2 linked regions of the Lonchura striata genome follow. The protein of the gene in region 1 purifies or fractionates together with the protein of each later gene. This does not show direct contact. Links are inferred from orthologs where the notes say so. Each region holds a gene or a part of one and is shown in the gene's direction. Other genes may lie near its edges.

Region 1 (3,913 bases):
GGTCCATCTTGGCAATTCCCCTTCAAGTACTGATAGATGTTGATGAAGGAGGTCCCCTCTCAGTTCTGTTTCCTCGAAGCTGAACAGCCCCAGCTCTCCCTGCCCTTCCTCTTAAGAGGGATACTCCAGATCCTTAATAAAATTTGTTGCCCTTTGCTGGACCTGCTCCAGGTGCTCCATGTCTCTGTTGTCCTGAGGAGCCCAGAACTGGACACAGCACTCCAAGTGAGGCCTCACCAGGGCTGAGAAGAGGGGCAGGATCACCTCCCTCCACCTGCTGGCAATGCTCCCCAGGATAGCACTGGCCTTCTTGGCCACCAGGACACACTGCTGGCCCACGGACAGCTTGTTGTCCACCAGGACCCCCAGGTCCTTCTCCACATCACTGCTCCCCAGCAAGTCGGCCCCAGGCTGTGCTGGTGCCTGGGGTTGTTCCTCCCCAGTTGCAGGACCCTGCATTTGCTTTTGCTGAATTTTCAAATGGTTCTTTGTCCATCTCTCCAGCCTGTCAAGGTCTTCTGAAGGGTGCAGTACTCCAGGTTATCAGCCACTCTGCCCAGCTTTGTGTCCTCTGAATTTGCTGAGGAGGCATCTGCCCCTCCCTCTAAACCAGGGATGAATAAGTTAAACCCTAGAGGGACACGACTAGGGGGAGGCCTCCAGCTAGACCCTGCCACTGATTGTAACCCTCTGGGATCTGTTGTTCAGCCAGTTCTTGATCCACCCCACTGTCCGATCATCCAGCCCACATCCCTGAGTTTGTCTGTGAGGACATTGTTAAAAGACAGTGTTGAAATCCCTACTAACATGAAGTAGACAATATCCACTGCTCTTCCCTTACCCATCCACGTAGTTGATTCTTGTAGAAGGCAATCAGGTTGGTCAAATAAGATTTGCCTTTAATGAAGCCATGTGAAATGATATTCTTGATCAACATCTTGTCATCCACATAGATATAGATGGCCTCCAGCATGAGGCATACGACCACTTTTCCAGGGATTGAGGTAAGACTGATTCACCTGGATACGTCACTGAGAATGATTTTACAAGCAGGAAAGAGACACTGACGTGCTCTCAGAGATGACAACTATTCTTAGTTACACGGGTTTTTTAGTGTTACAGACTAATTTATTAAAAAACAGCAAAGCTTGGGCATGTAGGGAAATTAATTTTCAAGTGACAACTTCTCTCTTACGAGAAATCTCTCTGAGGGCTATTATGGTAGTTTTAAATACTATATTGTAGGTAATTGTACGTAATGAAGGAACCCCGGGGCCGACTCGGCCCGGGGCCGGTGTGCGGGGCTCGGCGCATGCGCCGCTGCGCGCGCCGGGCGGGGCGGGGCTGGGCTAAAGAGCCGAGCCGGTGCCGCCGCCTGCTCCCGCCGCGATGGATGCGCGGGCCCCCGCCAGGCGCTACGAGAAGCTCGACTTCCTCGGGGAAGGGCAGGTGAGCGACCGCGGGGCTGCCCGCGCCACCGGGGCTGCCCGCGCCACCCGGGCTGCCCGCGGCACCGGGGCTGCCCGCGGCACCGGGGCTGCCCGCGCCACCCGGGCTGCCCGCGGCACCGGGGCTGCCCGCGGCACCGGGGCTGCCCGCGGCACCGGGGCTGCCCGCGGCACCGGGGCTGCGACAGCCCAGCTGGGCCCGGCCTGTGTCAGCGACGGGCCGGGCCGTGAGGGGCGCCGGGCGGTGCCCGCCCCGGGAGGGCGCGGGGGCCTCTTCTCGTTCGGTCCGCCAGGCCCTTCTCACGGCGGCGTCTCTCTCTGTCCCTAGTTCGCCACTGTTTTTAAAGCCAAGGACAAGACGAACGACCGAATCGTTGCTATCAAGAAGGTAAGTGTCAGAATGGCTTCTCAGCGTGTCCCAAAGCGTCTGGTTGCTCCTGACCTACCTAACAACTCCTTTTTTTTTTTTTTTTTTAAACCAACTTGATGGGAAATGGCATAATACACATTTTTATTTCTAGAGAAGTGTGTTTAAATGCTCTACTTAACCTGTCTGTAATGCTCACCCACCCCAGAAGAGGGAATGGCTTTGCTGTGTTTCCGAATTTGTGAAGGGTTGCACTTGACTTGAATTCAAGTCTGTGACTTGAATTTCTGGTTATTTGCTAGGTTTATGCAATACACACACGTTTCCAAACTGCAAACTTTACTGTACCTTGATAGTTGCTTTTTTTTTCCTTTTATTTTAAATCCTTCCTGCTGCTGCGCCCAAATTCCTTCAGTCCAGAATGTCACCCTTTATTAAGTTCCTTAAAATTTATAGAATATGCTGAGTTGGAAGGGACCCATCAACATCAAGTCTAGCTCTCATCCCTGTGCAGGACAATGTAAGAATCACCCCATGTGCCTGAGGCAATTGTCCAAACACCCCTTGGTGCCATGGCCACTTCCCTGGGAAGCCTGTTCCAGTGCCCAGCCCCTCTGGATGAAGAATAATTACCTAATATCCAGTCTAAACCTCCCCTGAACCGGTTTTATGCTGTTACCGCACGTCCTGTCATTTTTAGACAAATGTTTCCTGAATAACTGAATTAGCAAAGCCTTGTTCCCTGCAGCTTTGTCCATTGAGGTTGGCATCTCATATTGATTCCCTTCTAATAAGAAATGGCAGGCAGCATCTCTGTATTCTTTCCATGTCACCTGACTCTGCTTCCATTAGGCATACACCTGTCTTCTTTATGTTATGTTCAAGAGGACATCCCTGTTCAGCCAGGTTGTCCTTCTGCCTCATCTGCTTGACTTGTGACATTTAGGAAATGCCTGCTCTTGTGCCCTTAGGAGGTGATGCTTAAAAAGTAGCCGGCACTGATGGACCCCAGCACCTGCAAAAATGTTTTCCCAGGGGACTTTACTTACTAATTCCCTGAGCAGCCTGACATCTGCTTTCCTCATGTCCAGGGTTGAAGTTTTGCTGGCACTTTCCTACTGTCAACAGAATTTTTTACTCAATGGCTTTGTGATTGCTATGGCCAAGATGGCCTCAATTTCCACCTCAGTTGTGAGGTTCTCTGTTGACAAGCAGCAGATCAAAGAAGGCATCTTTTTGAGTCAGCTCCCTTATGGCCTTTTCCACAAAGTTGTCCAGGTTTTCAGAAATTTTCTGTCCCAGGCGGTACCTGTTTTGTGATGCTTCCAGTTGCTTTCTGGCAAGTTGAAGACCCCCGTAAGAAAAAGGGCAGTTCATTTAGAAGCATCCCTTAGTGCCTCAAAGAAGAATTCATTGGCATCATTGTCCTGACTGGGAGATCTATAGCAAACTCCCACAATGACATCCACATTATTTGTCCCTTGTTTTCTACCCAGAGGCTCTCAACTGCACCATTGCCAGCTGTAAGCTTTGTACATTCCAGCCCCTCCATTAGATATGATGTCACCCCCCTTCTCTTTTGTCCTGTGTACATCTCCTGAAGAGCCTGTAGCTGCCCAACAGGGCACTCCAGTCACAGGAGTCATCCCACTAGCTTTTATTCAAGTCAGTGATACCAAATCTCTGGGACTCAATCAAAGCTTTGAGCTCCTCTTGTTTATTCCTCATGCTGAGTGTATTGGTAGAGAAACATTCCAGGTGTTGTGCTTTGTAGCCAACACCTCATGAAGCAGATTGAGGTAGCCCATTAGTGTTCATTTATTCAAGTTTTGACACACCATCCTGCTGATTATCACTGGTGAGCTGGGTATTTTCCTTTTCTCCCTTCTTAAAGCCCATTTAAAGCTCTGCCAATGAGCCATGCTAGCTGCTGTGCCAGCAGCTTTTTCCACTCTGAGAAAGGTGCAGCCCATCAGGTGTTGGTAGAACAGGTGCTGAATAGATCATCCCATGGCCATAAACCTCAAAGTTTTTCTTTTGACACCAGCTTCAGAGCCGCATTTCAATCAGATAGATCTGCCTATTTCTATCAGTATTA
Region 2 (3,913 bases), on another chromosome or scaffold:
CTGAACAAAGGACTCTTTTTAACATGTCTTCCCTCTTTTCTTGTTTCCCAGAAAGTTTTGTTTTTCCCTTTTCTCTTGCTTGTGTTTGGGAGATTTTTGAAAAACATCAGCATTACCCCAGCATTGCCAAAATTACGGCAGACTGCTTTTTGACTTCCGTCATTTCAACCTCGTTTATCCATTCACTTCAATTGTGAAACACTTTTAAGATTTTGATCATCAGTCCTCTAGAGACAAATCTCCCACCTCCAAACTCCCTGTCTCATGACAGTTCCTTGGTTCATAGAATCACAGTACTCACATTTACTCTCTAACCACAATCTGAAATAAACATGTGGTTCAGTGACAGCAGGTGCCACAACTACTAAAATTTAGAACATGCACCTGCAAACACAGCAGGCTCCTCCGTTGCCAGGAGCTCCTGTTCAGGTCCAAGGGCAAGCATCAAATCATCAAATGTTAAGGGTCTGGCATGGACCTTAAAGATCACCTAATCCCTACATCCCTGCCATGGGCAGGGGAACCTCCCACCAGACCTTGTTTTTCACAGCCTTTTCCAGCCTGGCCTTGAACACTTCCAAGGCTGGGGCATCCACAACCTTCCTGAGAAATCTGTTCCAGTGTCTCACGACCTGCACAGTTAAGAATTTCTTTTAAAATATCTAATCTAAATGTCTCCCCTTTTCGCTTGCACCCATTATTCCTTGTCCTACACTACAGCTCCCGATTAAGTGTGCCTCTCTGACTTCCCTGCAGGACCCTCAGACACTGGAATGTGGCCGTGGGGTCTCCACGCAACCTCCTCTTCTCTAGGCTGACCTGCCACAACTTCCTCGCTCTGCTGTCACAGGGGAAGTGCTCCAGCCCTGTTACCAACCTCGTGGCCCTTCTCTGGACTTGCCTAGCAGCCCCACGTCCTTGTGATGCTGGGGAGCCCAGGTGAGGTGTCAGCAGAGCGGAGGAGGGGCAGAATCGCCGCCCCGGGCCCGCCGCCAGCTCCAGCCGGCTGCTCTGGGGCTGGAGCGCGCACTGCCGCCTCACGCTGGGCTTCTCGTGCTTAGCCACATGCAAGTATAATGCAGAAGGACCCATTTCGCACCGTTCCACAGCTGGCCCAGGCAGCTCCGAGCCCCGTCCCGCACCGGGGTGCGGTCCCCACCCGCCCGCCGCGCGACTGCGCATCTGGGGCGTATTAAAAAAAAATATATATAAAATAAAAACACTACCGCAAACACAACTTTAAACAATGCAACACGTAGACGAGCAAGGAGGCAGGCTGGGGTGGCTCCGTGCCTCTTTCCAACGGGGAGGAACAGCGCGCCCCGAGCCCCATCCCGCCCGCCCAGCGCCTTCCCGCGCCCCCGGCCCGGGCCGCCGCTCCCACCTTCCGCCTGCGCCGCGCTCCCCGCGCGGCCCCGCGCGCCGCGTGACGTCAGCGCGCCGCCGCCCGCCCCGCCAATCCGCGGCGGCTGCCGGGGCCGGCCTGCGCGTGCGCGGGCGGGGCACTTCCGCCGGCGGGGAGGCGGCGCGGGACGAGGGCGGAGGTGAGGGAGCGGGTGAGGGAGCGGGACCGGTCCGTACGCGGCGGAGGTGAGGGACCGCACCGGAGCTCCTGGGAACCCCTCTGAGCAAGGAGGAGGTGAAGGCCAGGACGGGCCAGCAACTCCGCCGGGGAGTAGAATTGTCGTAAAGAGTCTTTGCGTAAAACCGAGGCGTTATTTGTTTGGATTTGCGTGTTGGGGGTGTGTGGGGCGTGTTGTGCTTCCACATTTCCCGTGATCGCCAGTGCTGTTGTAGATGATAATGTAATACTGACTTTCGCATTTATTTCGCTTTTTGCATCGCAAGTATTTTGATACGGTACAATTTATATTTACTTTTAACTGCTTTTCTATAATATGACCTGTCAGCTTATGTGTGCACTGTATAGTTCATATGAATGTGAATAGCGTGATAAATATATTATATCATAACTTTTAGCAAACTGTTAAAATAGACTAAAATGCTTCAATGTAGCTGACTCACAGAATCGCGTAAAACAATTATTTTATTTCTTACATCTGCGGACTGGCCTCTCCAAGTGATAACAGTGACAGAAAACAGAGCATAAGCATTCAGGAAGGATTTATTGATTCTTTGCTATCAGGAAGTGTGAAACAACAAGATAGAGCTACGGGAAGAAATAAAATATATGGATCTGATCTACAGAATGTCCTGCAGACAAGTCAGAGGTTAAAACCAAACAAGAGAAACGTCAAAATCTCAAAAGCATGTTTGAATAATGTATAAACTGTTGAATTCACAGGTAACCCCAGCAATGTAACTATAGAGAGAACAGAGGTTTTAGGCTATCTCCATGCTCTGGAAATTTGTCTTTCTTTTATCCTTTATTAAAATTCTAAGAATTCTAAAGAGTGAACTCTTTTTTTCACAGTGTGATCCAAAACAGGGGTTGCTCTTGCCGACTCTTCAGCATTCATAAGAGCTGAGAAGATGGTGAATGTTCTGAAAGGTGTTCTGGTTGAGTGGTGAGTAGCAGCATTTACTGCCTCTCCTCGTGTCAAAGACTGTGTTTCTTTAGACCTGGAACTAATCTTAAGTAACTGAAGAGTCCAGACAAAAGGAGGTATTGTGGGGAAGGGTGGTGCTGAACAAGCAGAGAAAAGTGCGGCCTTTGGGGAAGAAAAAGAAGGCAATTGTGGATAGTCATAATGCCAAAGGCCCATTTTTCTGTTCAAGAGATTGTTTTCCACTTATGCCTAACCTCCTTAAAGAAAAAACTGCATATGAATATGGAGTAAAAATATGATGGTGAAAAAGTTAGAAATCACATAGTTGTAAAAATCCAGGTTATTATTTTAATTTAGCAAAATAGAGAAAAGGATGTAAAATACTTCAAATTAGCATTCACTATGAGAAATTATGCTTCAAAGCTATATTCTACCATGTCTAATGCTCCCCTAATATTGTCACGTCTTTTGAAACGTTTACAAGTTAAACTTTTAGCTGTATATGTAAGTTATCTATATGCTTGTCAGGTACAACTTAACCCTAGTATGAGCAATCCAGTTACCTTGGCAATTTTTCCTTGCAAATATTAGATGCTCCCTCTTGTTCTTTGTATTGCTTGCGAGCAGTTTCTTGCTGTTGTTTGTGAATCAAGTGTTTCTTTACTGATTCTTGAGGGAGACGAGGTAATCTTTCATTTATTCATTCCTGTTTTGTTTTTATTTAATCAGCTCTAGGCTGAATTTGGTGCAGGGTTAACATGTGGTTCTGTTTGTAGATCATATTTGAAATGAATGTGCTTGGAGTTGGTAAATGTCAGCTTTTTGGTGTAGGTGCAATGTACCTGTTTTCATATAATCTCATCTTTGGACTGAGACTCAGGCCTCTGGCTACCTCCAAAATTAAAGGAAGCATCACTCAAGATTTGTGGGGTCATATAGCGTTACATGATGTGTAAGATTTCTGCTGTACACTTAAGTCTCCTAATATGTTTGCAATCTAAAACTGCACAAAAGCAGTTCCATACTTCCAAAATGTTTTCTTCTAAACAATTTAAATTTTATTTAGAAGGTGATATCATGACTGTTCAGTTGGAGTGTGAGAAATAATACAATTCTTATATGAGCACTCTTTGTCTGTGCTATACTACTTTGAGTGAGATCTGTGTTCTCCTGTCTTTTGGTTATCCCTATACTTTAAGGAAACCTGTTTTTATGAGGCTATTGCTGAAATCAGAAATGTAAATTCAGTCTTGCCTTATTAAGGGTTGGACTTTTGAGTTTTAGTTTTGGTTTGGGAGTTTTTGAATCTGCTTTAGCAGCAGCAAACGGAAATTTCTCTGCTAATCAAGCAGCTGGTTCTACTCATTAGACTTTATTACAATTTTATTTTTGTCTCTATAGTA

What was found.
Region 2: the proteins of CDK7 (region 1) and GTF2H5 purify together in Homo sapiens (affinity purification with mass spectrometry; 7 studies listed by BioGRID and IntAct, with this or other methods). This does not show direct contact. The link is inferred for Lonchura striata from reciprocal best matches to the Homo sapiens genes CDK7 and GTF2H5.

The regions. Positions count from the first base shown.
Region 1 is NC_134642.1:11,847,329-11,851,241, forward strand, and holds the start of CDK7 (cyclin-dependent kinase 7), read left to right. Parts: upstream 1-1,331; 5' UTR 1,332-1,389; coding exon 1,390-1,449; intron 1,450-1,776; coding exon 1,777-1,836; intron 1,837-3,913. UniProt on the Homo sapiens protein: Serine/threonine kinase involved in cell cycle control and in RNA polymerase II-mediated RNA transcription. Cyclin-dependent kinases (CDKs) are activated by the binding to a cyclin and mediate the progression through the cell cycle.
Region 2 is NC_134605.1:53,868,023-53,871,935, reverse strand, and holds the start of GTF2H5 (general transcription factor IIH subunit 5), read left to right. Parts: upstream 1-1,471; 5' UTR 1,472-1,544; exon of another isoform or gene 1,545-1,639; intron 1,640-2,434; 5' UTR 2,435-2,493; coding exon 2,494-2,528; intron 2,529-3,913. UniProt on the Homo sapiens protein: Component of the general transcription and DNA repair factor IIH (TFIIH) core complex, which is involved in general and transcription-coupled nucleotide excision repair (NER) of damaged DNA and, when complexed to CAK, in RNA transcription by RNA polymerase II.